2 linked regions of the Macaca mulatta genome follow. The protein of the gene in region 2 interacts with the protein of the main gene of each other region in a biochemical or structural test. Links are inferred from orthologs where the notes say so. Each region holds a gene or a part of one and is shown on either strand. Other genes may lie near its edges.

Region 1 (16,216 bases), on a different chromosome or scaffold from region 2:
TCAAACCTGTAGACCAGAGAAAAAGCATCTAGAACTCCTGGGGGCCTTATCCAGGGCCCACATCCTCTCAGTGGGGGCAGCTCCCATGAGGGGTGCAGGCCCCTCGCCCCACACAGAGTCTGGGCAGGAACCGGAACCCGTCCTGGTTGCCCCGGAGTGGAGGCCGGGGAGGGGCGGGCGGTGGGTCTGCACCCGATGCGGCGGTTTGCTGATGTGTGTTTTCATGCCATGTAGATTTATAGTCTGTTACCAGGAAATTTTTTTTTTTTTTTTTTTTTTTTTTTTTTTTTTTTTTTTTTTTTTTTTTATGAGACATAGTCTCTCTCTGTTGCCTGGGCTGGAGTGCAGAGGCACAATCTCAGCTCACTGCAACCTCCACCTCCCAGATTCAAGTGATTCTCGTGCCTCAGCCTCCCAGGTAGCTGGGATTGCAGGCGTGCGCGACCACAGGCGGCTAGTTTTTGTATTTTTAGTAGAGATGGGGTTTTGACATGTTGAGCAGGCTGGCCTCAGGTGATCTCTTCATCTCCTGGCCTCAGGTGATCTGCCCACCTCGGCCTCTCAACATGATGGGATTACAGCCCTGAGCCACTGCGCCTAATTTTGCTTTTTTATTATAATCAGCTGGAATTCTGCCCTCTAGGGAATAACCCGGTCACCATTTGGACGCGTTTATTTCTGCTCTGTGTGTTGTGTGTGTACCTGTCACGCCCCCGTGCAGGGAGCTGCCTCTGTCTGACGAGGCCGCCTCAGCTTCAGCACCTGGCGCTTCCTCTAGACCTCTGCTGTGTTCCGAGGTGCTTGAGGTAGCAGGAGGTGGGGCCTGGTTCCGTGTGCTGACCTCACCGGAGCTGTGACTTCTCCCAAGCACCATCCCCCTCCTTCTCTCTGCAGAGCCCCTCTGCAGCCACAGGCTGGTTCCAGTTTGCTTTTTCATCTTTGCCATTAAAAACAGAACTGGGGCCGGGCACAGTGGCTCACGCCTATAATCCCAGCACTTTGGGAGGCTGAGGTGGGCAGATCCCCTGAGGTCAGGAGTTCGAGACCAGCCTGACCAACATGGTGAACCCCTATCTCTACTAAAAATGTAAAACATTAGCCAGGTGTGGTGGCGGGCACCTGTAATCCCAGCTACTAGGGAGGCTGAGGCAAGAGAATTGCTTGAACCCTGGAGGTGGAGGTTGTAGTGAGCCGAGATTTTGCATTGCACTCCAGCCTGGGCAACAAGAGCAAAACTCTGTCCCAAAAACAACAAAAAAAACCCCACAGAACTTGATCATGTATTTAAATGTTTTTCTGCATGTCTGATATTTTTTGTTTACATCCCTAACACAAAACAACTGCTTTGGAGAGTCTTACCCTGGTTTGTTGTTTGACTTTTATTTTGATATGGAGTTGTTCTCTCCCATGGGCTGGAGTGCAGTGGCACCATCTTGGCTCACTGCACCCTCTCCCTCCCAGGTTCAAGCAGTTCTCCTGCCTCAGCCTCCTGAGTAACTGGGATTAGAGGTGCCTGCCACCATGCCCAGCTACTTTTTGTGTTTTTAGTGGATACGGGGTTTTACCATGTTGGCCAGGCTGGTCTTGAACTCCTGACCTCAGGGGATCCACCTGCCTGGGCCTCCCAAAGTGCTGGGATTACAGGCGTGAGCCACCACGCCCCACCTGTTGTTTGCCTTTTGATCCAGTTCCTCAAACCAAGAGAGTGTGGAGAAGGCTGTATTGGAGCAGAGGCCACCAGAGTGTGGGCGCACTGGGGAGGGCATTCTCTCAGTACCCCCAGGTGGGCTCACAGGGGGCTGCACCCTCTGGGGTGAGGGGCCTGGGGTCCACCTTGGGGACCCTGCTCCAAGGCCCTGCTGCACCCACTGACCCCGCGGACATGGGTGTGTCCTCCCTTCCAGGACTGGAAGGATCACCAGCACATATGCGGCCAGTCAGCAGCTGTCACGGTCCAGGCCGACGAAGTCCACGTGGCTGAAAGCGTGATGGAGAAGGTGACCGTGTGAGGCTCCATCGGCCGCCCTGGGAGCTGGGGCCCCTCGCACTCCTGTGAGGCTTTTGCAGGTCGAAGGCCCCCCTGAGGACTCTGGGGGGACGTTGAGAAGAGGGGTGTGGGAAGGTAAAGAAACTTGCTGGACAAGTTATTAACACACTTTAAGCGAATGGTGCCCTGGGGAGCGGACTCCCCCCGCCCGGGCCCCCCGCCCGCTCGCGGAGAGATTTTTTATCCCTGGGATCATGAGCGTCCGGTCTTGCCCACAGGGCCTGTGCTGCGACGCATGTACATACGTGTTGTGTCTGTCAATAAAGTGTAAATAAGGTCTCCCTGCCCCACGCGGGCGGCCGGTTTCAGTGCCAGCCCTCAGGGGGGTTTCCTCCCCTTCCTTCTCCTTGTGCAGGTGGGAATCCCAAGCCCACCGCATCTCCAGTCCACAGGGCAGCGCGGCCAGGCCGGAGCCTCCGGTGCACGGGGCAGCACGGCCAGACTGAAGCCCTGGCATCTGGTGGCACCTGTAGTCCAGGAGGTCTTCATTCCTTCTGTTCCACGAGAACCTCGTGGCTGCTGGCAAGTGCAGCAGGCCTGCGGCCCTTCCCGCCAGGTTTCTGTGCACCCGGTACCCTCCTGTGCCCAGGCTTCCTGAGCAAGCCCGATGGCCCAGTGCAGCCTGTTCAGTCCATGTGGACGGCTCGGTGGCCTTGGTCCAGGGATCCACATGCAGAGCCTCATGGCCTCCTGGTCTCCCGCTTGTTTCTCATGGCCCTGGTGCCAGGTGGAGGAAAGAGAAAGGACTGAGGCCTGCATGGGACACAAGGGGGCATGTCCAGTGTGTTTGGGCACTGGGCTGGGCCTGGACATGGGACCCACCTGCCCTCCTGACTGAGAGCTCTGCTGGAGCAGCGTCACTCTTGTTCTGGAAGCTTCTGCGCTCATGGCCTGTGTTCTCTGCACACTGAAGGCTCCACGGCTGTGGCTGCACTGGGGCAAGAAAGTACAGACTCAGCAAAAGCTCAGCAGGCACCTGGGGTGGGCTGGCAGCGCCAGGAGGAACCTGCACCAACGATTCTGATGTTTGCCTCTAAGCGCTTTCTGCACCAGCTGGAGCTCTACGAGAGGCGGCCAGAGTTCCCCTGGAAGAGGTTGTGCATGGGGGCAGGGCTCACTGGCTCTGTGGGCCCTGCAGAGAACCCCCCACCATATTTGAGTCTCTGGGTTTCTCAGGACCACCTGATTTATTCTGGTTTTCTATTTTTTTTTTTCTTTGAGACAGTTTCACCCTGTCACCCAGGCTGGAGTGCAGTGGCACAATCTTGGCTCACTGCAACCTCTGCCTCCCAGGTTCAAGCGATTCTCCTGCCTCAGCCACCTGAGTAGCTGGGATTATAGGTGCTCACCACCATACCCAGCTAGTTTAGGAATTTTTGGTAGAGACAGGGTTTCTTCGTGTTGGCCAGGCTGGTCTCGAACTCCTGTCCTCAGGTGATCCACCCACCTCGACCTCCCAAAGTGCTGGGATTACAGGCGTGAGCCACTGCCCTGGCCTATTTACTTAGTAAAGTCTCCACCCAGCCGGGCCAAGCCCCACTGATGTTTCATCGTCCTGCTTAGACGCACTCGGTGCTGCCCCGTTGGTGCTGCCAGTGAGCAGTGGAGGCTGGAAAAGGTGTCTGGCCTGCTGCAGCACCCACTCCAGATGCTGCCCTCACCCCGCCTGTCCCTCACCCCACCTGTTCCTTCCTCTGACCCTCACCCTGCCTGTCCCTCCTGCCTCTCCCACCGAGATGCTCTCCCTCCTGTCCCTCACCTCACCTTTCCCTTGGTCTGACCCTCGCCCCGCCTGGCCCTTCCTCTGACCCTCGCCCCGCCTGGCCCTTCCTCTGACCCTCGCCCCGCCTGTCCCTTCCTCTGAGACTCTACACTGAGTGGCTTTTCGTCCAACCCAGCAGGGTCCGCCATTGCCACAAGGTGGAGGCATCTTAGAGGCTCTGCTTGGCCTCGGCACTGTCCAGGCAGGTGGGCCGTGGGTTGACCTCCATGAGGCAGCAGGGCTGGGCCTGCTCCTTTGGGTCTTTTTTTTTTTTTTTTTTTTTTGAGACAGAGTCTCGCTCTGCTGCCCAGGCTGGAGTGCAGTGGCGTGATCTTGGCTCACTGCAAGCTCCGCCTCCCGGGTTCACGCCATTCTCCTGCCTCAGCCTCCCGAGTAGCTGGGACTACAGGTGCCCAGAACCGCGCCCGGTTAGTTTTTTTGTATTTTTTAGTAGAGACGGGGTTTCACTGTGTCAGCCAGGATGGTCTCGATCTCCTGACCTCGTGATCCGCCCGTCTCGGCCTCCCAAAGTGCTGGGATTACAGGCTTGAGCCACCGCGCCCGGCCTCCTTTGGGTCTTAACCAACATAAAGGTGGCAGGGAAGTGAGGACCTGCACCTCTAAGAAGAATCCCCCAAAGCTGGAAACACCAGCGTCTCTGTGCAGAGAGCACAGCCGCAGAAGTGGCCAAACCCCCGCCTGGTGGGGAAGGCACCGTGGGAGCCCCTTGGCACCGTGACCCCACCAGCAGTGATGCACCTGGCCGCCTGCAACCAGGCTCTGCAGGAGTGGAGTGGGGGTGTTCCCTGGAATTGTGGGGGCAACTTACTCTTCCCCGATTTTCCGTAAAATGGAAGCCGGAGCACCACACATCTCTTGGGATCCCAGGTTCCCACAGCTCCTCCTTTCCAAGCCTGGGAGGCTGATGGCCAGAGGTCGCCCCGCCCCAGGGCTGTCAGCACCCCCAGGACCCCCAGATGCGTGTGCACCTCCCGTGGCCTCCAGCACTGTCAGTGAGGCATGTGTGGGGCCGTGGGTCCTGGGACAAGGCTGACGGGAGCCCCTCCTTTACTCTCATGGGTGTCCGACAAGAATCCATTGTGACTCAGTCTGTTCCAGGGGCTGGCTGGGACAGGCTGGTCCTGGGAAGTAGGTAGTCGGGGAAGGTGTCCAGGAGGAGGCAGCCGCTGAAGCTGTGACAGAAGTACGTGGTCAGCAGACGGGACGGGGCAGCTGCACTGACGTAATTGGGCTTGGTCGTCTCTCCACCCAGTATTTCTTCTTTTCTTTTTTGAGACAAGGTCTCACCCTGTCACCCAGGCTGGAGTGCAGTGGTGTGATCTCAGCTTACTGCAGCCTTGACCCCCTAGCTTTAAGGGATCCTCCTGTCTCAGCCTCCCGAGTAGCTGGGATTACAGGTGTGACACCACACCCAGCCTGCACTGAGTATTTTAGCTGAGGTTGTACCCACTGCTGTAGACTGCACAGCCCAGTCTCTCAGTGTTCAGATGGGAGCTTGGCACCATGACTGGCCGCCCTGGCTGTAGATGCTGCATCCCCAGCACAGTAAAGCTCCAGCCAGCAGGACTGGGAGGCGGAGGGCCTCCCATTTCTCCCACAGCCTGGGCCTGGGAGAGAGCTGGATCCAGTCCAGGGTGGGCTGTTAACTGCACTGAGGGCCCTGGGAGCCACCCCTCCTCCCCCAGGGTCAGGGGCTGTACTATGGTTGACAAAGCCAGGCAGCCCAGGGCAGACAGGCAGCCTGGGTCGCTCTGCCCACCCTCTGACCCTGCTGCCTCCTCCCTACTCCTACCCCTTGGCCCAGCCACATGGGTGGATGCTGGGCAGAGGCTGGCTGGGTGACTGAGCATGGAGCTCCCTCCAGGGAAGCCTCTTGGTGGGACCCCACCTATCACCACAGGCCCCTTCCTGTGGGGCTTGGGGCATCCTCTGGCCAGGGACTGGCAGGAAGCTGTGCTCTGACCTCAAGGCAGCTTCTAAAATGATATATCAGGCTCCCCCGCCTGGGTCTGCTGGGACAGCAGAGCCAGGAGACCCTGTGCTTCGTCCTCGGAGGCGGGAGTTGGCCTGGGCAGGGCCTGGCGGCTGACCGCCCCCCCAGCCCCTCTCGCCTCATTCATTTCTTCCCATTGGAACTGGGCTTCCCCAGGAGACACCTTGCTCTGCTCGGTGCCATTTCCTCTCCCCTGCAGAGAGGGTAGGCTGGGCCAGAGCACTGCCGAACTGAGTGGGTCTCCAGGGGCCCCTTCCCCCGCTCACTCTGAGCAGGGGGCCGGCTTGGTGGGGTCTGCTCTGTGGGCTTCCTTGGCGGGAAGGAAGGGGTTAACTGGCTGGGCGGCCTGGGGCCACTGGGGCAGAAGCCCTTCCTCCTCCCTTCCCCATCAACCCCAGGAGCCTTCACAGCTGAGTTTGGGAAGGAATTTGTTTAATTAACGTACAAAACCGCCCTCCCCATATCCTTGGTCCCGGAGGCCTGGCCACCAGGCCGGTGCCCAGGCCGCGGGGGGTGGGGGTGGGGGTCCGGCTCAGCAGCAGGCACGCAGGGCCTTGCGGAAGACATTGCGGAACTCGGCGTTGAAGACAGTGTAGATGACGGGGTTGAGGGCGCTGTTGACGTAGCCCAGCCAGGTGACCGCACTAACCAGCCGCGGGGGCACGGAGCAGGCAGGACACAGCGCCTGTGTGATGTGCACCACGAAGAAGGGCGTCCAGCACAGCAGGAAGGCCCCTGGGGGCGCCGAGAGCCACGTCAGCGCCCCCTGCCCCTCCGCGCCTCGTACTCCTCCCCTCCTCTCTACCCAGCCCCCCAGGGCAGGAACGCACCGACTACCACAGGCAGGACCCTCATGGCCTTGCGCTCCCGGCCGGTGATCTTGGCACGCCGCCTCCTGCGGGTCTGCGGTGGGGTCTGGGGTGGGAGCGCAGCGGCTCGGACGGCGTCTGGGGGCGCACAGTTGGAGTCGCAGGAGTCCGGGGGGAGGCCGGGCACGGGGGGCGCACAGTTGGGGCCGCGGAGACCCTGGGGAAGGCCGGGCGCTGGGGGCGCACGGTCGGGGCCGCAGGGACCCTGGGGAGGGCCGGGCGCGGGGGGCGCGCAGTCGGGGCCGCAGGGGTCCTGGGGGAGGCGGGGCGCCGGGGGCGCACAGTCAGGGCCGCAGGGGTCCTGGGGAAGGCGGGGCACAAGGGAAGGAGGGCCGGGGCCGCTGGGTCGGCGGGGCGCGCGGCCGTGCAGCTTGGCGCGACGGGCCACCTCCCAGCGCCGCAGGCCGCGGAACGTGGCCCAGTAGAGCAGCAGCATGAGCGGACAGGGTAGGAAGAAGGAGCACACGGACGAGTAGACCACGTAGTCGCGGTCCTCCAGGCGGCACACGGCGGGGTCACGGCCGCGCACGTCGTTGAGGCCGCACAGCACGGGCGCCGCCACCGCTGCGGACAGCAGCCACGTGGCGCCGATGAGCAGCAGCTGCCGGTGGCTCCCGCCCTGGCGGTTGTAGCGCAGCGGCACGGCCACGGCCACGAACCTGCGGGGAGCGCCGAGGGTGCGCGGGACAGCGCGGAGGCCGCGGTGAGGGCGGCGGCGGCGGGAGGGGCGCGAGGGCGCGGGGGCGCGGGCGGGGAGGGCGGCGCACCTGTCCACGCTGATGGCGCACAGGTTGAAGATAGAGGCGGTGCACAGCATGACGTCCATGGCCATGAGGGCGTCGCACAGGCGGGGGCTCAGCAGCCACGCGCCACCCTGGACCTGCGCGGCGACACCACAGGCCCTGAGGTTTCCCAGCCACCGCGGGCCCTTGTGACCCCCTCTCTTATGGGTAGTTCCAGGGCTGAATATGGAGGAGGGGGCCCGCTGTGAACCAGAGGCCAGAGGAGCAGGCAGAGAAACAACCCCTCTGCACTCAGGTCTCCCTTTGTTTTCAGTTAGGGTCTCGCTCTGTCACCCAGGCTGGAGTGCGGTGGCTCCATCATGGCTCACCGTAGCCTGGAACTCCTGGGCTCAAGCGATCCTCCCACCTCAGTCTCCAGAGTAGCTGGGACTACAGCCGCGCGCCACCACCCCCCAACTGATTTATTTATTTTTTATTTTTGTTTTTCTTTTTGTTTGTTTTTTTGAGACGGAGTTGCACTCTTGTTGCCCAGGCTGGAGTGCAGTGATGCGATCTCAGCTCACTGCAACCTCCGCCTCCCGGGTTTAAGCGATACTCCTGCCTCAGTTCCCCCGAATAGCTGGGACAGCAGCCGCATGCCACCATCCCAGGCTGATATTTTCATTTTTTTTTTTTTTTTTTTTCTGAGAGGGAGTCTCGCTCAGTGGCGCAGGCTGGAGTGCCCTGGGACGATCTCGGCTCACTGCAAGCTTCGCCTCCTGGGTTCCCGCCATTCTCCTGCCTCAGCCTCCCAAGTAGCTGGGACTACAGGCGCCCGCCGCCACACCCGGCTAATTTTTTGCATTTTTAGTAGAGACGGGGTTTCGCTGTGTCAACCAGGATGGTCTCGATCTCCTGACCTCGTGGTCCGCCCTCCTCGGCCTCCCAAAGTGCTGGGATTACAGGCGTGAGCCACCGCGCCCGGCCGATATTTTAATTTTTTGTAGAGACCCGGCCCGGTATGTTTCCCAGGCTGGTCTCAAACTCCTGGGTTCAAGCGATCCTCCTGCCTTGGCCTCCCAAAGTTCTGGGATTACAGGTGTGAGCCACCACTCCTGACCTTGGTCTCCCTTTTGTTACAAACATGAGAACGGGCCTGGGGAATTCCCTGGGGGCGGGGCCTGATGTCATCGGGCTCAAGGAGAGCCCCTCCCCAGCCTGGGGTAGGCAGGGTCCCCGCTGGGCCTAGACATGAAGCTGGCTGCTCTGTCCTTCAGGGCATGAGCCAGCCTGTCTGGTGAAGCTCTCTGTGGGAGACTCGGGCGCATTAATTCATTTGTTTCCTCATCTGTAAGACGAGGATGATGATAGTATCCACATAATTGTCTTGAAGATAAATTATAATTAAAAATATGAAGACCTGCCCAGTGCCCAGCGTAGGAGTCCACGTGGAGTGACTCTCTTCAAGGGCAAAGGAGCAGGCAGCCCCCTTAATCCCTTCCCGCCGATTTGGGAAGATTAGGAGCTTAAACGTCGTCACTGTGACGTCTGCGGCTCGAAAGGAGCACAGGTCATGCGTGTCCCGTGCTGCTGGTCTCTGCCCCAGCCGCCAGGACTCACCGTGTCTACCAAGGGGAAACCCCGAGTCCCCCCTCCTCCACAGTCCGGGACACCGCGTCCCCAGCTCAGCCTTAAGCTGCTTTTCTCTGGCTGCAGAGGGGCTGGCACCAAGTCCAACCCATCCGAGGGCCAGATCTGGTGTGGAGTGTGGGATCCATCCCCCAATTCCCCCTCGGGCTTCTCCCCAGGGTTCTCAGCAGGGGCCTGGCCCCCACACACCCTCCCCTGGGTTCTGTCCAGCCCAGGTCTCCCCTGTGAGCTGTGAGCCTCCTGGGGGTGAGCCAGCATCCGCACTGGGTGTGCGTGGTGGTCTGTGGCTGTGGCCGTGTGCAGTGCGTGTGTGCAGTGCGTGTGTGTGTGTCCCAGGGCAGCCAGGGGGCCGAGTCCGCATCTGCCTGCCTGTCCAGCTGGTTGCCCTGGGGGTGAAATCCAGCTGCCGGGCGGCGGGAGGGGGCTGGCTTCACAAAGTCGCCTATTTCTGGGGTCCCTAGATCGAAGGACGGGCATCTCCTGGATAGCAGACGCCAAGACAGAAGGGGAAGGGAGGAGAGGAACGGGGGTCGGGGGACAGCGCAGCGGGGGGAAGGTCGCGAGGTGGCGGCGGTGGGTGTAGCGCGGAGGGACCAGGCGCAGCGCCCCTGCCGCCGCCCCAGCTGGAGGCTCCGGAGCAGAAAGGGGCCGGGTCGCGCCGGGTCCTCCGCAGGGACAGGGACGGAGAACCGAGGAGCAGATGAAGATGCTCGTGCGGCCAGACGGGGCTCACCTCGGAGTAGACGAAGAGCGGCAGCACCAGGAGAGCGAGGAGGAGGTCGGCGGCCGCCAGGCTCACGATGAAGGAGTTGGTGGGCGTCTGCAGGGCGCGCTCGGTGGCCACGCTCACGCACACGAGCGAGTTCCCCGCGAGCACCGCGCCGATGAGCAGCACGCCTCCAACCAGCGCCGCCGCGCCCGGCCCTGCCAGCCCCGCAGCCGCCCCCGCGCCCGGCCCGCGTCCGGCCAGCAGCCCGTCCGGGTCCGCGGTGCTGCGGTTCCCCATGGCGCGCCGGCCCCAGGCGCCCGGGCGGGCGCTGAGCACCGCGGACAGCGCCGGGCCGCAAACCGGGGAGTCACTCCCCTTGGGCACGCCCCGGCCAGACTCTGGTCCCGCCCCCGCCCCGCCCCGGCTCAGGGGGGCCCCCGCGGCGCTCCACCGTGCGCCCAGTATTTGCTCATCTTGGAATTTTGCGCAGGGAGAGACGGGCAGGCGGACGAATGCGGCGGCCCAAAGAGACGGGAATGAAGCGAGGTGGTGGCCATGGGCAGGCCCAGCATCGCCTGGTGCGGCGCGGGGTCCGCACCCCGAGAAACCAACAAGGATGGAGGGGCAGCCAGACCAAGCCCTGAAGCGCGCGGGCATCGACGCCAGAGCCATCCTGCCCGGCCCCTGCGTGCGTCCCGGCCCTCGGGCCGTCCACCTAGTGCACCTGGTGTCTGGGAAAACGTCCCTCCCAGGCCCGTTCCGCCAGTCGCGGGAAGACCGGAGCTTAGGCTCTGCCCGCCTCCCGGGGGACTCGCCTCGACCTCGCGCGCACCCTCCTGCCCGCGACTCCGCGCCCGACCCAACCGCCGACGCCTGGCTCGTACCCCCGCTCCCCAGCAGCCTCTGGTCCTCAGCCCCCGCGACCACCACAGTCAGCCGCGGCCCCACCCATTGCACAGTTGGTCCTCCCGTGGCCGCCTCCGATAGTGGGCCGGCACCTCCCCCCGACCCTCCACCCCCGGGCGGACAGCTGAGCGGTCGACCCTGCTCCCTCCTCCAGTCCCTCCGGCCCAAGACCCTGAGCTAGGTAGGCGTCCCTCTGACCCTGGGCAGGGGGTCCGGGGACCGGACAGTAGGTTCAGCCCGCGAGGAGGCAATGAGAAAGACAAGACAGGCCCTGGCAGGTTCCAAACGTGCAGAAGAGAAAGTGCTTGCAAAGTGCAGCAGAGACAATTCTATGGACTCTTCATCAAATCGGGGTGACCCATGACCTGAGGGGTATTTTCTGTAGTCCTGTCACTAAAGGGGCCTAGAAGGCACTAAAAGGAGGCACCACTCTGTGGGACCCTGGGCGATGCACATCTTGCTCTTGTCTTTGTTTCTGGGAGGACTGGAGTGGAGGGGCCGTGCCAGGAATTGAGGCCCCTGACCTCAAACGTATGGAGGACACGGGCTGGACGAGGTGCTGATGGGGTGTGCATTAAAGGGAGAAACGAGGGCTCTGAGAAGGAGCAGGCACCGTGAGCATCACAAGGCAAGGTCCTGGGGTCTGTAGGGGAAAGGCCTGCACCAGGGTCAGGTGTCCACAGACATCAGGTGCAGCCGCAGCCAGGCTAAGTCCCTCTTGTGCAGACCAGACTCCTGCCCGTGAACCCTTGTGCAAAAGAAGTCACCACAGAAGAGGCTGGGACAGTGCAAGTGTCTTCTCTTCTAGGATGGAACCCGGGAGGGTGGCCCTGGGGTCTCCGGCTGGGTGCCCAACGGTGAGTCCAGCCCAGCCTCTGGTCAGCTTAGAATTCCTTCAAGTGGCCCCCAAGATGTCTGCGACCACCAAGAGTGAAAACAAAGCCAGGCGGAGAAAGGATGTTTGCAGTACACATCTCTGGTACAGAATGCAGATCCAGAATATATAAAGAGTGCTTTTAAAACAATGAGAAAAGACAGACAATTCCAGTTTTTTTCTTTTTTTTTTTTTTTGAGACGGAGTCTCGCTCTGTCGCCCAGGCTGGAGTGCAGTGGCCGGATCTCAGCTCACTGCAAGCTCCGCCTCCTGGGTTCACGCCATTCTCTGGCCTCAGCCTCCCGAGTAGCTGGGACTACAGGCGCCCGCCACCTCGCCCGGCTAGTTTTTTGTATTTTTTAGTAGAGACGGGGTTTCACCGTGTTAGCCAGGATGGTTTCGATCTCCTGACCTCGTGATCCGCCCGTCTCGGCCTCCCAAAGTGCTGGGATTACAGGCTTGAGCCACGGCGCCCGGCCTTTTTTTCTTTTTTTTTTTTTTGACATAGAGTTTCTCACTCTTGTTGCCCAGGCTGGAATGCAGTGGCACAATCTTGGCTCACTGTGACCTCTGTCTCCCAGGTTCAAGCAATTCTCCTGTCTCAGCCTCCCAAGTAGCTGGGATTACAGGTGCCTGCCGCCACACCTGGCTAACTTTTTTGTATTTTTAGTAGAGACGGGGTTTCATCATGTTGGCCAGGCTGGTCTCGAACTCCTGACCTCAGGTGATCCACCTGCCTTGGCTTCCTAACGTGCTGGGATTACAGGAATGAGCCACTGCCCCCAGCCTATACTATATACTTCCGTTGTTTATCTGAAAATCAAATGTAACTGGATGTGATCGCATCTCACTGCAATCATGGCTCACTGCAGCCTCAATCTCCTGGGCTCAAGTGATCCTCCGGCTCCAGCCGGAGACCACAGATGCGTAGTGCCACACCCAGCTAATTTTCTCATTTTTTGTAGAGACGGGGTCTCGCCATGTTAGCCCAGCTGATCTCAAACTCCTGGGCTCAAATGATCCTCCCACCTCAGCCTCCCAAAGTGCTACGATTACAGGCATGAGTCACACACCCAGCCTAAACAATTTTTAATAAGGACCTCCACTCATACCTTACACATTAAAAAATTAACTCAAATATGCTGTCAAGAGAATCAAAAGACACAGACTGGGAAATGATATTTGCAAATGGCCACGTCCGGCAATGTTTTTTTTTCCATTTTAGTGTAGTAGGACGTCGTTGATTTTCCTGATGGCTACTCACGTTTGACCACTTCGCATGTGCCTGTTAACTGTCAGTGTGCCCTCTTCTGGAACGTGCCTGTTAAAAATCTTTGCTTTTGTTAAAAATTGGGTTGTCTACGCCAGGCGCAGTGGCTCACTCCTGTAATCCCAGCACTTTGGGAGGCCGAGCCGGGTGGATCACCTGAGGTCAGGAGTTCAAGACCAGCTTGGCTGGCCGGGCGCAGTGGCTCACGCCTGTAATCCCAGCACTTTGGGAGGCCGAGGCGGGCGGATCACGAGGTCAGGAGATCGAGACCATCCTGGCTAACACGGTGAAACCCCGTCTCTACTAAAAAATACAAAAAACTAGCCGGGCGAGGTGGCGGGCGCCTATAGTCCCAGCTACTTGGGAGGCTGAGGCAGGAGAATGGCGTGAACCCGGGAGGCGGAGCTTGCAGTGAGCCGAGATCCAGCCACTGCACTCCAGCCTGGGTGACAGAGCGAGACTCCGTCTCAAAAAAAAAAAAAAAAAAAAAAAAAAAAAAAAAAAGACCAGCTTGGCCAATATGGTGAAACCCCATCTGTACTAAAAATACAAAAAATTAGCTGGGTGTGGTGGTGCGTGCCTGTAATCCCAGCTGCTTGGCAGGCTGAGGAAGGAGAGTTGCTTGAACCCAGGAGGCAGAGGTTGCGGTGAGCAGAGATCACGTCATTGCACTCTGGCCTGGGCAACAGAGCAAGACTCTGTCTCAATAAATAAATATAAAAAAATAGAAACAAAAATTTTAAAAATTAGCAAATCATATATCCAGCAAATAGCTTGCATACAAAAAATATTAATAATTCTCAAAACTCAACATTAATGACATCACAAAAAGAAAATTCCAGATGAGTATCCTTTATGAATATAGATGCAAACGTTCTTGGCAAAATATGAGCAAACACAATCCCTTTTAAAGTGCTGCCCGTCAGAGAAGCAGCATTTTTTTTTTTTTTTTTTTTTGAGACGGAGTCTCGCTCTGTCACCCAGGCTGGAGTGCAGTGGTACAATCTCAGCCCACCACAACCTTCGCCTTCCGGGTTCAAGCAATTCTCCTGCCTCAGCCTCCCAAGTAACTGGGATTAGAGGTGTGCACCACCACACCCAGCTAATTTTTGTATTTTTAGTAGAGACAGGGTTTCATCATGTTGGCCAGGCTGGTCTCAAACTCCTGACCTCATGATCCGCCCACCTCGGCCTCCCAAAGTGCTGGGATTACAGGCATGAGCCATCGCGCCCGGCTGAAAAGCAGCATTTTTTAAAGGATTATGTACCATAACCCAGTGGGATTTATCCCAGGAATGCAAGGGTGAGTGAACAGACGAAATTCAATGTCATACACCAGATTAACAGAATTAAGAAAAACCCACGCAATCATCTCAATTGATGCAGAAAAAAAATTTCATAAAATTCAAAATCCTTTCATGATAATAAGACTCAATAAACTAGGAGCAGAAACAACTTCATCAGGCCAGGCACGGTGACTCAGCCTGTAATCCCAGCACTTTGGAAGGCCAAGGAGGGTGGATCACTTGAGGTCAGGAGTTCAAGACCAGACTGCCCAACATGTTGAAACCCCACCTCCACTAAAAATACAAAAATTAAAATTAGCTGGGCATGGTGGCGCACGCCAGCTTCTCAGGAGACTGAGACACGAGAATTACGTGAATCCAGGAGGTGGAGGCTGCAGTGAGACGAGATCGCACCACTGCACTCCCCCCGAACAACAGAGGGAGACTGTGTCAAAAAACAAACAAACAAAAAACAAACACAGCTAACATCATACTCATTGGTGAGAAACTAAAAGCCTTTTAAAGAGACGAGGATACCCACTGCTGCTGCTTCTGTTCAACATTGTTCTGGATGTTCTAGCCAGAGCATTAATCAAGAAAAAGAAATTAGGCCGGGCGCAGTGGCTCAAGCCTGTAATCCCAGCACTTTGGGAGGCCGAGACGGGTGGATCACGAGGTCAGGAGATCGAGACCATCCTGGCTAACACGGTGAAACCCTGTCTCTACTAAAAAAATACAAAAAACTAGCCGGGTAAGTTGGCGGGCGCCTGTAGTCCCAGCTACTCGGGAGGCTGAGGCAGGAGAATGGCGTAAACCCGGGAGGCGGAGCTTGCAGTGAGCTGAGATCCGGCTACTGCACTCCAGCCCGGGCAACAGAGCGAGACTCCGTCTCAAAAAAAAAAAAAAAAAAAAGAAATTAAAGGTATCCAAAATTGGAAAAGAAAACTATTGCACATGACATGGTCTTACGTATAGAAGATCCTCAAAAAACAGGCCAGGCTCGGTGGCTCACACCTGTAATCCCAGCACTTTGGGAGGCTGAAGCGGGCGGATCACGAGGTCAGGAGATCGAGACCATCCTGGCTAACACAATGAAACCCCATCTCTACTAAAAATAGAAAAAATTAGCCGGGCGTGGTGGTGGGCACCTGTAGTCCCAGCTGCTCAGGAGGCTGAGGCAGGAGAATGGTGTGAACCCGGGAGGTGGACCTTGCAGTGAGCCAAAATCAATTGCGCCACTAGGTGACAGAGCAAGACTCCGTCTCAAAAAAAAAGAAAGAAAGAAAGAAACCCCGTCTCTACTAAATATACAAACATTAGCTGGGTGTGGTGGCATGAGCCTATAATTACAGCTACTTGGGAGTCTGAGGTGGGAGGGTCATTTGAGTCCAGGCGGTTGAGGCCACAGAGAGCTGTGATTGAGCCAATGTACTCCAGGCTGCCCCAAAATAAAATAAATAATGAACATGGGTAAAGGACTTGAACAGACATTTCTTCAAAGAAGATACACAGGCCGGGCGCGGTGGCTCAAGCCTGTAATCCCAGCACTTTGGGAGGCCGAGACGGGTGGATCACGAGGTCAGGAGATCGAGACCATCCTGGCTAACACGGTGAAACCCCGTCTCTACTTAAAAAAATACAAAAAAAAATTAGCCGGGCGAGGTGGCGGGCACCTGTAGTCCCAGCTACTCGGGAGGCTGCGGCAGGAGAACGGCGTGAACCCGGGAGGCGGAGCTTGCAGTGAGCCGAGAGGTCGCGCCACTGCACTCCAGCCTGGGCGACAGAGCGAGACTCCGTCTCAAAAAAAAAAAAAAAAAAAAAGAAGATACACAAATGGCCGGTGCAGTGGCTCATGCCTGTAATCCCAGCACTTTGGGATGCCAAGGCAGGCAGATCCCTTGAGTTCAGGAGTTCAAGAACAGTCTGGCCAACATGGTAAAACCCCATCTCTACCACAAATACAAAAATCAGCCGGGTGTGCTGGTGGGTGCCCATAATCCCAGCTACTTGGGAGGCGGAGGTGGGAGAATCACTTGAACCGGGGAGGCAAAGGTTGCAGTGAGCCAAGATCGCACCATTGCACTCCAGCCTGGGCAACAGTGCGAGA
Region 2 (15,515 bases):
TTAGGAGAAAGGGAGGAAGAGAAAAAAAAGGCAGCAATAAAGGTTGATGGAGGGAAAGGAGTTGTGATTATGCCTCTGAAGCAATTTTTACCCAGAATAAGTAAACCAGAACGGCACAGTGTTTTCTCCTTTTCTACATCCCAGCCTGCTCCACTTCAAAAAGTTCTCGGTGAAGGTAAGTAGCTACTCTTTTGTCCTTATGCATTAGAGACTTTATTTAACATTTATTTAACATGTACTACACAGACAAAATTGTACTAGATATTCTAAAAAGTAGGGAGAGAACAAAGACATGAAGGCTTTTGCTTACAAATGTATAATCTAGTTGTTAAGTATCAACTGTCTTTATCTTCACTAATATTTAGAGAAAACAGAGATAAGGAGGAGAGCAGAATCTCATTTTTACATTAATCTACAGTTTGCCCCATGCACCACCATTATATATGCAAATGTCTGACAGTACCATCTATTGTCCCTTCCCTCAGATCTAGTCTTACCAGAACGCTTGGTGGCCATTGGTGTAACATTAGTCCAATGTCCTGTATGAGGGTCATATTTCTCAACGGAATTTAAGATATTCAAGCCGTCATATCCTCCTGGAAGACAGAGATCATTCCAGAAAGAGTGGTAAATCCTCATGCCCATTTCTGGTCGGTCTTTCTCTGAGTGCTTCAACTAACTATTTTAGTTTCAATTTTCCCCCAAGAGTTCCATAAGAGAAATCTGACAGTACCCTACTTTCTGCTTATAAGAAAAAGATAATCCCAATTAATGGAAAATATATTAACACACACCAGGGTTTTAGTTGAAGGGAAGTCTATGAACTTCATCCTAGTAAAAAGGAATCCTTACTCACAGTCCACTACCCATTGAGTTCTCTCCCATTCCTGCATCCCAGACTCGATACCTAGACAGTAGATCACTCCGCTGGCCACTACGAGTCCGGCACCTTCCCGAGCTGTCTGCATATCTCCCAGCATGCTCCACTGGTCAATGTTTGGATCATACCGCTCCATACTGGTGTGACGCCTGCTTCCGTCAAAGCCCCCAGAGACATAGATCATATCTGCTCAGAATAAACAAATTACAGACTATTAGAGAATGACAGATTTCTAAGAACTCTTTCCTCTACAAATTTTCCAAGGATTCTTTAAAAGTCTGGGAGCAAAAACAAAGTATTTTTTAATGAGATAAGTCAATTAAGTTTTATAGACAAGGAAGACATCCAAAAAGAATGGGGTAAAATAAAATCCTTAAAAGCATTCAAAGACCACCTGGGAGTTTGCAAAAATACAACTAGTGCCAGTTCCCCACCTAGCACGTTGGAACTTGATTTGCCAATTTTGTAGTCAGTACTGAAACATCCATGAATATCGAACAGCTTCTATTACACTGATATTTCTGAAAGCAAAAAGGAATATTTGTCAGCTGGGCACAGTGGCTCACACCTGTAATCCCAGCACCTTGGGAGGCCGAGGCGGGTGAATCACTTGAGCTCAGGAGTAAGACATCAGCCTGGGCAACATGGCGAAACCCTGTCTCTACTAAACATACAAAAAAATAGCTGGGCATGGTGGTGCATGCCTATAGTCCCAGCTACTCAGGAAGCTGAGGTGGGAGGATCGCTTGAGCTTGGGGAGGTTGAGGCTGCAGTGAGCCGTGATCGTGCCACTGCACTCCAGCCTGGGCAACAAAGAGAGACCCTATCTCAAATAATAGTAACATTTGACCTTAATTTTTTCTCCATATTTCATGCTCCTGCCAGACAATAGGAGAGGTTAAAAACCCTGGTCCAGCCACAGTAAGATGGAAATAATTGCCCTACACATCCAGCCTACCTCCCAGGGTGGTGGCTCCAGCAAGACCTCGTCGGACATTCATAGGGGCCACAGAATACCAGACCCCATCCTCATCTGCTGTGTAGTCTAGACATTCCACTGAACTAAGGCGGGAACGGCCATCATAGCCACCAATGACGTAGATCCGGTCATGTAGGGACACTGAGGCCACATAACGTCTCTTACGAGTGATGCTCTATGGATTTGGAGAGAAGAGGTACAGAGCATTTCAGTTAGGCAAGTTTTAGGCCTTACCTTTTGCTATCTTCCCTGTTGCATCTGCACACCTCTATGCTTCTTCACCTGTTATCATGAACCCTCCCTGAGTGGTTCATCCTCAAGTGGCTCCCAAATAGCTATCTACTGAACGAAATGCTTGTGGTGCTCTTAAAGATACAAGCTTTCTGCACATCTGCCTCTTTCCAAGGCTTCCAAAAGATTTAACAGCCTTCTGTTATCCAGTATCTGACTCCTTTCTTTTCCATAAGGCACTGGGCTAAGAGACTGATATCCTTCCATAAAGTGGAAAAGTATTCCCACACTGCTAATCAAAGGGCCAGGATTTATTACAAGAACCTTAAAAGGTAGGAGGGTTGGATTTCCATGTTTTCTTAGAAAGTACTATTGTTCATTCAGCACTGAAAGAGACATGCTGAGGAAGACAGATACAAACTTTTTTTTTTTTTTTTCCTGAGTTGGGATCTCACTGTCACCCAGGCTGGAGTGCAGTGGCACAATCACAGCTCACTGCAACCTCGAACTCCTGGGCTCAAGCAATCCTCTGCCACAGCCTCCCAAATAGCTAAGGACTACAGGCATGCACCACCATGCCTGGCTAATTTTTTTGTTTACTTTTTTGTAGAGACAGAGTCTCACCATATTGCCCAGGCTGGTCTTGAACTCCTGGCCTCAAGGGATCCTCCCATCTCAGCTTCCCAAAGGGCTGGGATTACAGGTGTGAGCTACCACGCCCAGCCCAAACTTAGCTCAACTGAACACTAGGTTCAATTACACACAATTTAACATTCAGTTCAGTTTAACACAGCATGACCAATGAAATGTGCTGGGAATTATACAGACAGCTTGGCAAGGCACCTAACTAGTGGTGGCCATCTGAGTTTACCTTGACACAGGGCCACTGACATTACTAAGGCATAATCTTCTAATCTAAACAGTCAAAAACTGTTTAGTGAGTACCTACTATGTGCACAAGACTGCTGTAAGAAACATGATCCTGTTATTAGGCTTTTCTACTCTTAAGGCTGGATTAGCTACGATCTGGAGCCAGAGACTAAGGACATTTAAGCTCCCTCCCAACGAATGGCTTTTCTACTCCTAAGGCTGGATTAGCTATGATCTGGACCCAGAGACTGAGGACATTTAAGCTCCCTCCCAACGAATGGTTTCACCATTATTTACTGGCAAAAAGCTCCACTCCTGAGTCTTGGGGTCGTATTTCTCTACCACGTCGATGGGAGACTGCTGGCTTCCGAAGCCCCCAACCACCAAAAGCACTTCATTGGCTCCTGAAGACAAAGGCAGAAAAAAGATGGGTTAGTTCAGCATCCCTGGATGGGTAACTAGTCACAGGGAAGTGTCAACAGAAACAGTTCTAGGATGTCTTGTTTTATGTGACTGAGGGATGCAATCTGAAATGGGAGATAATCATAAGGCTGTCGAATGGGGAGTTATTTCTCCTTGAGGCTGTAGCTCTCAAGTCTCTGAAACTTAAATTTCTGGACAACATTAAAACTCTAGAAAGCAAACTTCAACATGACACTGCACCATTTCTTTTTTTTTCTGGAGACAGAGTTTCACTCTTGTTGCCCAAGCTGGAGTGCAATGGCACAATCTCGGCTCACCACAACCTCCACCTCCTGGGCTCAAGTGATTCTCCTGCCTCAGCCTCCCAAGTAGCTGGGATTACAGGCATATGCCACCATGCCTGGCTAATTTTGTATTTTTAGCAGAGATGGGGTTTCTCCACGTTGGTCAGGCTGGTCCTGAACTCCCGACCTCAGGTGATCTGCCAGCCTCAACCTCCCAAAGTGCTGGGATTACAGGCGTGAGCCACCGTGCCCGGCAACACTGCACCATTTCAACCTATTGAGATGACTGGCTGACATAATACTTGAGGTCTTAAGTGCAGGTGAGAGGCTAAAGGCACTCTCTGCACTTCTCAGCCTGAAAAAACCCAAATTGGGAGGGTTTTTTTGTTGTAATAGGGAAAGAACTCTCCTAACCTTGTCACAAAAAAAAGCTGCATGTTGAAACTTAGGATCCAAGTGATGGATTTAAAGTCTCTTTTTCTGAATTGAGAAAGGGTCTCGCTATATTGCCCAGGCTGATCTCAAACTCCTAGCCTGAAGTGATTCTCCTGCCTCAGCCTCCCAAAGTGCTGGGATTACAGGAATGAGCCACTGTGCCTGGCCTAAAATCTCTTTTTCATGAACATTTCCTTCTCCAATGTAGTCAACTATATGATCATATTCCCTGCCAATTCATCAAAACCACAAGGCAACAAAAGACTAGAGTTTTAAAGGAAAAGTCTTTTTCTCTATTTTCCCAAAGAAGCTATTCTGACAGCCTTTATATCTTCCCCTTCCCCTAAGGCCTTACTCTGATAAAATACTTCCTACCCTGGCTCTTGGAGACAGGGTCTTGCTATATTGCCCAGGCTGGTCTCAAACTCCTGGCCTCAAGCGATATTTCTGCCTTGGCCTACCAAGTAGCTGGGGTTACAGGTATGAGCCACAGCACCTGGCTTGGCTTTTTTCAAAGAGCAAAGTCTCTTTGAGAAAATCCCCTGTGCATGTGCTCCATTAGAACTCATGGAGAGAACAGTTAGCTGGAGCTTTGGAAAATTCAATCACTAGGAAGCATCTAGGAGACCAAAGTGATCTTACAAGTAACCTGGACTTGAAAGAGCAAATGTAGTACCTTGAAGCTGACAGGAAACACAGATAAACCCCTAATGAAGTAATGGATTTGACAATTATCATCAATTGCTGGGCTAGAATCATTATTTCAAAAGCTAACATATTACTATGAGACATTGTGTGCTTCCTAATGGTGATGAATAGGAAGGACCACACTACCATCTAATGAGTCTTTTTTCTAAAAAATTGAGGCTGACTCTTAACAACCCTCTAGTCCAACCACTAGTTTACAGGCAATACATAGGAGAAGAACATGTTAAATGACACTATAAAGATGCCAACAGCAGAGTCCAGAATGTGGGAAATTCTACAGGTCGAATAGCTTGTTTTCTTCAAGAAATAAATTGATTAGTAAAAACCAAAACAGGATGGAAACACTTTGTATTAAAAAGAGACTGAAAAGAGACATGAAATCACTAGCAACGTGTGGACTTTGTCTGGCTCCTGATTTGAACAACGTAAGTACTCAAAAACAAACAACAAAAAATTATGGAAAAAAAGTTACACAAACACGTACTTATGACAATAAGGAACTGTGTGATTTTAAACAGTGATAATGGCATTCTAGATGTGTCAAAAATTTTATCCTTTTTAGAGACACACGTGGAAGTATGACACATAGTGATGGAATTATATCCAGTCTGGAATTTGCTTCAAAATAGCCTGGGCACAGTGGCTCACGCCTGTAATCCCAACACTTTGGGAGGCCAAGGCTGCCAGATCACTTGAGGTACGGAGTTCGAGACCAGCCTAGCCAACAAGGCAAAACCCCGTCTCTACTAAAAATACAAAAATTATCTGAGTGTGGTGGTGCACACCTGAAATCTCAACTACTCGGGTGGCTCAGGTACAAGAATGCTTGAACTCGGGAAGTGAAGCTTGTAGTGAGCTGAGATGGCGCCACTACACTCCAGCCTGGGCCACAAGGCGAAACTCCATCTCAAAAAAAAAAAAAGCTATGTGTTGATAATTGTTAAAATTGAGTGATGGGTATGGGGGATCATTGTATCACTGTTTTTATGTTTGAGATTTTTCTTAATAAAACATATACACCCACACATAAACCGTGGAGTTTTTCTAAGAGGACACTTGTCTTATGTACTTGCCAAATAAAGTGGACCCTCTCCAAAGTAAGCCAGCAAGTAGGTCTCAGGAGTCAGCTCCTTCGAAAATGAAAGCATGGCCAGGCGCGGTGGCTCACGCCTATAGTCTCAGCACTTTGGGAGGCTGAAGCAGGTAGATCATCTGAGGTCAGGAGTTCAAGACCAGCCTGGCTAACATGGCGAAACCCCGTCTCTACTAAAAATACAAAAATTAGCCGGGTGCGGTGTGCGCACCTGTAATCTTAGCTGCTTGGGAGGCTGAGGCAGGAGAATCACTTGAACCCAGGAGGCAGAGGTTGCAGTAAGCCGAGATCGCGCCACTGCACTCCAGACTAGGCAATAGAGCAAGACTCCATCTCAAAAAAAAAAAAAAAAAAAAAAAAATTCAAAGCATATGAATGAAGGGTTCTTTAGTGACTGAACTCACTTATGTCTGCCTAAGAGTACTTCAAATTGGGAGAAGCCAGGATCACAAGTTATTTGTTTTTTCTTTGGGAACACTATTCCCCTACATATTCCTTTTTCTTATTCCACCTCTTCTCTTCCTGACTGGAATAGACAAGGTAAGCGTGATCCTTTTATCCAGACACATTTCCCATGTAGATGAGTATGATGCCAGCAGATGATATATGTATGAATAAAAATTCCCACACCAACCAAGAGGTATTTCCTGTGCTATGCAAATTTTAAAGTTTTCTCCTGATTTTTCAGCTCTTATTTCTGTTGCTTTATATGACTCCCTGCCCCACCCTGCCAACCAAAAAAAAAAAAAAAATATATATATATATATATATATATATGTATGAAGAGGTCAGATACAGTGGCTCATGACTATAATCCTAGCACTTCGGGAGGCCAACGTGGGCAGATTTCTTGTGCCCAGGGGTTCAAGGACACTTTGGGTAACATGGTAAGACTCCTATATCTAAAAAAAATAGCCAGGTGTGGTGGCAAATGCCTGTAGTTCCGCTCCTCCTGAGCCTGACATGGGAGGATCACTTAAGCCCAGGAGGTTAAGGCTGCAGTGAGCAAGGTTGTTCCACTGCACTTTAGCCTGGGGAACAGAGTGAGAACTTGTCTCAAAAAATAAAGTAACATAAAATAAAGAAGGCTGGGAGCAGTGGCTCATGCCTGCAATCACAGCATTTTGGGAGGCCGAGGCGGATGGATCACTTGAGGTCAGGAGTTCGAGGCCAGCCTGGCCAACATGGTGAAACCCCGTCTCTATGAAAAATATAAAAATTAGCCAGGTGTGGTGGCACACACCTGTAGTCCCAGCTACTCGGGAGGGTGAGGCACAAGAATCACTTGAACCTGGGAGATGCAGGTTGCAGTGAGCAGAGATTGCACCACTGTACCCCAGCCTGGGTAACACAGCAAGACTCTGTCTAAAAAAACTAAATACAAATACAATACAAAAATTAGCCAGGTGTGGTGGTGTGTGTTTGTAGTCCCAGCTACTCTGGAGGCTGAGGAAGGAGAATCGCTTGAACCTAGGAGGTGGAGGTTGCAGTGAGCTGAGATCACGCCACTGCACTCCAGCCTGGGTGACAAAGCAAGAATGTCTCAAAAATAAAATAAAATAAAATAAAAACCCCTCTCTTTCTTGATATTTCATTCAGGTACCTTTTGAAGGGTGGGAGAAAATAAGTAGAAAGGAAATAGATTATAATAAAAACCCAGAGAACGGACAGTACTTCTTGTTGGCTGAAATTTTCCCAATAAACATTCTGGTAACTATATGTCTACGGTGGAACTTGGTAAGAGGTGTTGGTGTGATTTGCAAAGGAGTTTGTTTTGTTTTGTTTAAAAGACAGGGACTTCCTCTGTCACCTAGGCTGGAGTGTAGTGGCACAATCTCAGCTCACCACAGCATCGACCTTCCAGGCTCAAGCAATCCTCCTACCTCAGCCTCCCGAGTAGCTGGGAGCACAGTGTGTGCTACCAAACCCAGGTATTTTTTTTTTTTAATTTTTTACAGAGAGGAGGTCTCACTATGTTGCTCAGGCTGCTCTCTTAACTCCTGAAGCTCAAGCCATGCTCCTGCTTTGGCCTCCCAAAGTGCTGGGATTACAGACATAGGTTTTATGGCTCTAAATGGCTGGGATCCTTCGATCACTGATTCTCAAACTTCTTTGCTGTGAAGGACTCTCTTCATTGTTTTCCCCTGACAGATCCTGTGTTTTGACAGACTGTCTACCAAAGTGAGTTTAAGTAATTAACTTCCCCAGCAACTGCCAACAGAGCTTCTGATAACTATGAGAGCAACAGTGTTTCACACTGAATGGATACAATGTTAGCTAAATCTGAAGTCTTTATTTTGCCTGTTCAGCTTTTTCTCGCACAAAAATGATTTTCTTTTAGAATATTTAAAAATAACTCAAGGACTAGTATAATCACCATCCCCACTCACATATTACCCCTCCCCGTTAAAAAGACTTGAAAAGTTTTTTCCTTGTGATTATAAAACATATAATATACATTTTTACTGCTAAAAAACTTGGAAAATACAGACAAGTATTATGAAAAAAATTACCCACAGTTCCACAATACAAAGACACACCAAAATATAACATAATTTCCTTCCAGCCTTGTTTCTACACATTTATAAAACACAAATGGGGGCCTGGCACAGTGGCTCGCACCTGTAATCCCAGCACTTTGGGAGGCTGAGGCAGGTGGATCACGAAGCCAGGAGTTTAAGACCAGCCTGGCCAACGTGGTGAAACCCCATCTCTGGTGAAAATACAAAAATTAGCCGGACGTGGTGGCACGTGCCTGTAATCCCAGCTACTCGGGAGGTTGAGGCAGGAGAATTGCTTGAACTCGGGAAACAGAGATTGCAGTGAGCCAAGATTGCACCATTGCACTCCAGCCTGGGTGACAGAACAAGACTCCATCAAAAAACAAAAACAAAAACAAAAAAAATCCAAAAATAAACAAACAAAAAACCCCACAAATGTGACCATATTATATTATATGCTGATGTTTTTCATTTTGCAAATATATGAATAAGTCTTTTAGTACATGGTTATAATATTCTTAGGCATTTCGGGGTTCATAATTTTGGGTTATAAACAATCACATAAATAACCCTGTGATAAATATCCTGAACGTGAAACTTTTCCTAGTTGTTTTCTTAAAGAAATGGGAAGAATGCTGAGTAATGAACATGAATTAGAAAAAAAGTTTTTGAGCCAGGCATGGTGGCTTACACCTGTAACCCTAGCACTTTGGGAGGCCAAAGCAGGCGGATTGCACAAGCCCAGGAGATCAAGACTAGCCTGAGCAGCATGGTAAAACCTGTCTCTACTAAAAATAAAAAAAATTAGCCAGGTCTGGTGGTGCACACCTGTAGTCCCAAGTCCCAGCTACCTGGGAGGCTGAGGTGGGAGGATCACTTGAGCCCAGGAAGTGGATGCTGCAGTGAGCCAAGATCATGCCACTGCACTATAGCGACAGAGTGAGACCTTGTATCAAAACAAACAAACAAACAAAATAGACGACCATGGTGGCACACGCCTGTAGTCCTAGCTACTGAGGAGGCTGAGGTGGGAGGATTGCTTGAGCCCAGGAAGTGGAGTCTCAGTGAGCCAAGATCATGCCACTGCACGCTAGCCTAGGAGGCAGAGTGAGACCCTGTCTCAAAAAAAAAAGAAAAAAAAAATTTTTATATATAAGGTGTCTTTTTGAAATTGTTACCAATTATACCCCCACCAACACTATAAAGGTGCCAACTCATTCTATTTTCTGAGGCACTGGATAGATTTTAAATCTCTGACACTCTGGTAGGCAAAAAATTGTATGTTTAATTCTTTATTACTAAGACCCTATTATTAATTAGGTTGCACTCCCTCCCTTATATCAATAGCCAGCTTTACTTGCCCTTCTGCAAACTGTGCACTCAAATCTATATTGTTTCTCTCATGCATTCTTGTTTATTTTCTTTTTAGATACAAGGTCTTGCTCTGTTGCCCAGGCTGGAGTGCACTGGTGTAATCATGGCTCACTGCAGCCTCAGCCTTGACCTCCTGGCTCAAGCATCCTCCCAGCCTCCCACTTCAGCTTCCCTAGTAGCTGGGACCACTAATTTTTTTCTTTTCTTTTTTTTTTTTTTTTTTTTTTGAGACGGAGTCTCGCTCTGTCGCCCAGGCTGGAGTGCAGTGGCGCGATCTCGGCTCACTGCAAGCTCCGCCTCCCGGGTTCACGCCATTCTCCTGCCTCAGCCTCCCGAGTAGCTGGGACTACAGGCGCCCACAACCGCGCCCGGCTAATTTTTTGTATTTTTAGTAGAGACGGGGTTTCACCGTGGTCTCGATCTCCTGACCTTGTGATCCGCCCGCCTCGGCCTCCCAAAGTGCTGGGATTACAGGCGTGAGCCACCGCGCCCGGCCCCTCTTTTCTTTTCTTTTTTTTGAGACAGAGTCTTACTCTGTGGCCCAGGATGGAGTGCAGTGGTGTGATCTCGGCTCACTGCAACCTCTGTCTCCTGGGCTAAAATGATTCTCCTGCCTCAACCTCCCCAATAGCTAGGATTACAGGCGTGTGTTACCATGCCCGGCTAATTTTTATATTTTTAGTAGAGACAGAGTTTCACCCAGTTGGCCAGGCTGGTCTTGAATTCCTGGGCTCCATCGCCCACCTCAGCCTCTCAAAGTGCTGGGATTACAGGTATGAGCCACTGCTCTTGGCCCTGTCTCATGCATTCTTTACACACAAATGGTTTTAACCCTTTAACGCTTTACTTATTTATCTATTTTTTTTTTGTTGTTGTTGTTGTTGTTGAGACAGAGTCTCGCTTTGTCGCCCAGGCTGGGGTGCATTGGCCAGATCTCAGCTCACTGCAAGCTCCGCCTCCCGGGTTTACGCCATTCTCCTGCCTCAGCCTCCCGAGTAGCTGGGACTACAGGCGCCCGCCACCTCGCCCGGCTAGTTTTTTGTATTTTTTAGTAGAGACAGGGTTTCACCATGTTAGCCAGGATGGTCTCGATCTCCTGACCTCGTGATCCGCCCGTCTCCGCCCCCGGCCTTATCTATCTATTTATGAGATAAGAGTTTTGCTCTTGTTGCCTAGGCTGGAGTGCAATGGCGCGATCTTGGTTCACTGCAATCTCCACCTCCCAGGTTCTAGCGATTCTCCTGAGTAGCTGGGATTACAGGCATGTGCCACTACGCCCAGCTAATTCTGTAGTTTTAGTAGAGACGGGATTTCTCCATTTGGTAAGGCTGGTCTCAAACTCCTGACCTCTGGTGATCTGCCTGCCTCAGCCTCCCAAAGTGCTGGGATTACAGGCGTGAGCCACTCCGCTGGCCAACCCTTTAACCCTTTAAAGGTTGTTCCAAACCTATGTTCCTAATTTGTCATAATTTTGTATATTTTTTTTATTCAAATATGTTTTTATTCTTTGTCATTTCTTCCACTATTTTGTGCCTAGAAAGTCTTTCTCCTCCAGAAGAACTCCTAAGGTTTTAATGTTTTAACCCTAAGTTGGAGACCAATACTTAAACAATCTGACTCGTGTAAAAAAAAGTTAATGAAAGAGTCAATCCAGAAAGAAGCCTGTTTGTTCTCTGCCAATGATGGAGTACTTGTTAAGTGAGATTTTTATCTTTTTAATGAGAAAACCTTGTCTAGGACATCTGACAAGAACAGTGTGAAAAAGCACATTTCTAAAACTGAAGAACCTGGCAGTGGCATGGTCATTATTTTTAGGAGGGGAAGGGGAGTGTGTGTATGCCGTGATACGTTTTAGAGGAATAGGTGCTGTGATACGCTGTTAGAGGAACAGGGCAGATGCAGGACTGCTAAATAACAGGGTTCAGAGACTCACATTTCCATTTGCATTGATCTTTAGTTCAAAAAAGGAGACAGCCACAAATTAGAAAAGCAATTTCCATTATATCTTCTTTGAGACAGTAATGGGTAAGGTTAATAACTAAAAATCCCTTATTTGGCAGACTATTTTTTTTTTTTTTTTTTGAGACGGAGTCTCGCTCTGTCACCCAGGCTGGAGTGCGGTGGCCGGATCTCAGCTCACTGCAAGCTCCGCCTCCCGGGTTCACGCCATTCTCCTGCCTCAGCCTCCCGAGTAGCTGGGACTATAGGCGCCCGCCACCTCGCCCGGCTAGTTTTTTGTATTTTTTAGTAGAGACGGGGTTTCACCGTGTTAGCCAGGATGGTCTCGATCTCCTGACCTCGTGATCCGCCCGTCTTGGCCTCCCAAAGTGCTGGGATTACAGGCGTGAGCCACCGCGCCCGGCCAGGCAGACTATTTTAACTTGGCTGTCAATTTAATTTCCTTCTGCTGTATGCAGAAGAGTCATTATCCTGGTAGCTGGTTTAGCAGCCAATATGATAGAAATCGGTAGAGGACATGATGGTAAGAACAATCTACTTTCTAAGGCAATAACAAAGCGATACTAAGCATCTAATTGGAAACTGCTTCAGCATTTCCCTTCTAGAACTTCTGAAAAATAACCTCAAGACTATGAAGATAGTAGATTCACAGTCTAATCCTTTAACGTCGGGGGAATAAGCAAGTTCTCTAACCAAGCAGAAGCCCCTTTTGCTGCCTGTTCAGAGATACGCAGGAAATGTACCTTCAAAGAATCTTCTGGGTTTACTGATTCACAAAAATTTTCATTAGCTTTTAGTTCAATTTAATAAGCAAATAATGAGTACTATCATGCAAAAAGGAAACATTTTTCTATGTTGGAAAGTACCTTAGTGATTGAACGTTAACTCTCTTGATATAAAGAACTGGAAACCCAGAGAAGTTAAAGGACTTGTCCAACAGCAAGTTACCAGAGTGAGTGACGGACACGGGAGTAAAAATAAAAGTAAGCAAAATGTCTTATCTCCTAGTGCCAGGTTCTTTCCACTACGTCACTGGCTCTCATGGTATAGGTTGAGTAACCCTTATCTGAAATGCTTAGGACAAGAAGTGCTTCAGATTTCAGACATTTTTGGATTTTTGTAATATCTGCATTATTTATTTGCATAACTATTTGCACATCCCTAATTCAGAAACCCCAAATTCAAAACGCTTCATTGAGCATTTCCTTTGAGCATTACGTTGGCACTCAAAAGTTTTAGATTTTGGAGCATTCTGAATTTCAGATTAGGGTTACTCAACCCAAATTTTTTTTTTTTTTTTTTTTTTTTTTTTTTTGAGACAGAGTCTTGCTCTGTCGCTCAGGCAGGAGTGCAGTGGCGTGATCTTGGTTCACTGCAGGCTCTGTCTCCTGGGTTCAGGCCATTCTCCTGTCTTAGCCTCCTGAGTAGCTTGGACTACAGGAGCCCACCACCACGCCCGGCTAATTTTTTTTTTTTTTTTGCATTTTTAGTAGAGACGGGGTTTCACTGTGTTAAGCAGGATGGTCTCGATCTCCTGATCTCGTGATCCACCCGCCTCGGCCTCCCAAAGTGCTGGGATTACAGGCGTGAGCCACCGCACCCGGCCACCCAATCTGATTTTTAAAAATAATAATTATTTTTTAAAAAACAAAAGTAGGCCGGGCGCGGTGGCTCACGCCTGTAATCCCATCCAGCACTTTGGGAGGCCGAGGTGGGCGGATCACGAGGTCAGGAGATTGACACCATCCTGGCTAACAGGGTGAAACCCTGTCTCTACTAAAAACACAAAAAATTAGACGGGTGCTGTGGCGGGCACCTGTAGTCCCAGCTACTCGAGAGGCTGAGGCAGGAGAATGGCGTGAACCCAGGAGGCGGAGCTTGCAGTGAGCCGAGATCGTGCCACTGCACTCCAGCCTGGGTGACACAGTGAGACTCCATCTCAAAAAAAAAAAAAATACAAAAAAATACAAAAAATTAGCCAAGCATGGTGGCACACACCTGTAATTCCAGCTACTTGGGAGGCTGAGGCAGGAGAATCACTTGAACCTAGGAGGCAGAGGTTGCAGTGAGCAAAGATTATGCCACTGCACTCCAGCCTGGGTAACAAGAGCAAAACGCCATCTCAAAAAAAAAAAAAAAAAAGTTCCTACCCTGGGAGGAAAGGGAGAATTGGGAGTTATTGTTTAATGGGTACAGAGTTTCAGTCTCGTTAAGATGAAAAGAGAGATTGATTGTATAACAACGTAAGTGTATTTAACATGATTCAACTGTACATGTAAAAATGGTTAAGATGCTAAATTTTACGCTAAATATATTTAATTTATTTATTTTGAGATGGAGTGCAATGGCACAATCTTGGCTCACTGCAACCTCCGCCTCCCAGGTTCAAGTGAGTCTCCTGCCTCAGCCTCCGAAGTAGCTGGGATTACAGGTGTGTGCCACCATACTCTGCCAATTTTTGTATTTTTAGTACAGATGGGGTTTTGCCATGTTGGCCAGGCTGGTCTCAAACTACTGACCTCAAGTGATCTGCCCACCTTGGCCTCCCAAAGTGCTGAGACACAGTGCCTGGTCTGTTACATATATTTTACAAAAAAGAAAAAAAGACTTCCATCCAGAAGGTATACAAATATTTTCCTATAATTTCTTCTAATATTTTCATAGTTTTTCAACATTCAGTCCTTCAGTCTATCTTGTGTTGATATGTATCTTTGTACGAAGCATATGAAACACAGATCACATTTTGTCATCTTGCAGTAATAGAAAATACCATCAACAATGCCCTTTCTAAAAGTTCTCTTTTTAAAATACAGTATCTTTGAGTGGTAAGATTATAGATGATTTTTATTTATTTTTTGGTTCTCTGTATTTCTAAAGTTCTACATTGAACATACAGTACTTATGCCATTAAAAAATATAGGGGAGCTAGCCATGCATGGTGGCTCATGCCTGTAATCCCAGCACTTTGGGAGGCCGAGGTGGGTGGATCAATTGCAGCCAGGAGTTTGAGACCAATCTGGTCAACATGGAGAAACCCTGTCTCTACTAAAAATACAAAAATTAGCTGGGGATGGTGGCAGTTGCCTGTTGTCCCACCTACTCGGGAGGCTGAGGCACAAGAATTGCTTGAACCTGGGAGAGGTTGTAGTGAGCCAAGATTGCTCCACTGCACTCCAGCCTGGGTGGCAGAGCAAGACTGTCTCAAAAAAAAAAAAAAAAAAAAAAATATATATATATATATATATATATATATATATATATATATATATATATATGGGACAACTGTAATCCCAGCACTTTGGGAGGCCAAAGCAGGTGAACTGTTTGAGTCCAGGAGTTCAAGACCCAGCCTGGGCAACAAAGGAAGGCTCTGTCTCTACAAAAGAATACAAAAATTAGCCAGGCATAGTGGCCGGTGCCTGTGGTCCCAGCTACTTGGGAGGCTAAGGTATGAAGACTGCTTGAGTCCAGGAGGCTAAGGCTGCAGTGAACCGAGATCATGCCACTGCACTCCACCCTGGGCAACATAGTGAGACCCCATTTCTATTAGAAAAAATAAAATATAGGGGATAAATCACCATTCTACCTAAATCCATCAGTGAGCTGCTTAATTATCAACACCTTAGCATGCATGATGAGTCCTCAGTCAGATAAAAGGAAACAATAAAACAAAATACCACCCCATACATATAGAGTAATTCATAACTTATAAAATGCTTTTATACATTATACACCTAGGCTCTTGGTACAGTGAAGCAGAGAGAATAGGAAATGTAAA

What was found.
Region 1: of the proteins of KLHL12 (region 2) and DRD4, one has a biochemical effect on the other in vitro, tested with the Homo sapiens proteins (2 studies listed by BioGRID, with this or other methods). The link is inferred for Macaca mulatta from reciprocal best matches to the Homo sapiens genes KLHL12 and DRD4.

What each region holds. Positions count from the first base shown.
Region 1 is NC_133419.1:528,093-544,308, reverse strand, and holds DRD4 (D(4) dopamine receptor), read right to left. Parts: upstream 10,436-16,216; 5' UTR 10,431-10,435; coding exon 9,798-10,430; intron 7,573-9,797; coding exon 7,460-7,572; intron 7,352-7,459; coding exon 6,654-7,351; intron 6,559-6,653; coding exon 6,356-6,558; 3' UTR 6,235-6,355; downstream 1-6,234. Other genes in the region: DEAF1 (deformed epidermal autoregulatory factor 1 homolog), read left to right, coding at 1,905-2,009. UniProt on the Homo sapiens protein: Dopamine receptor responsible for neuronal signaling in the mesolimbic system of the brain, an area of the brain that regulates emotion and complex behavior.
Region 2 is NC_133406.1:60,558,326-60,573,840, forward strand, and holds part of KLHL12 (kelch-like protein 12), read right to left. Parts: intron 3,365-15,515; coding exon 3,258-3,364; intron 2,035-3,257; coding exon 1,839-2,034; intron 1,067-1,838; coding exon 908-1,066; intron 597-907; coding exon 498-596; intron 1-497. UniProt on the Homo sapiens protein: Substrate-specific adapter of a BCR (BTB-CUL3-RBX1) E3 ubiquitin ligase complex that acts as a negative regulator of Wnt signaling pathway and ER-Golgi transport.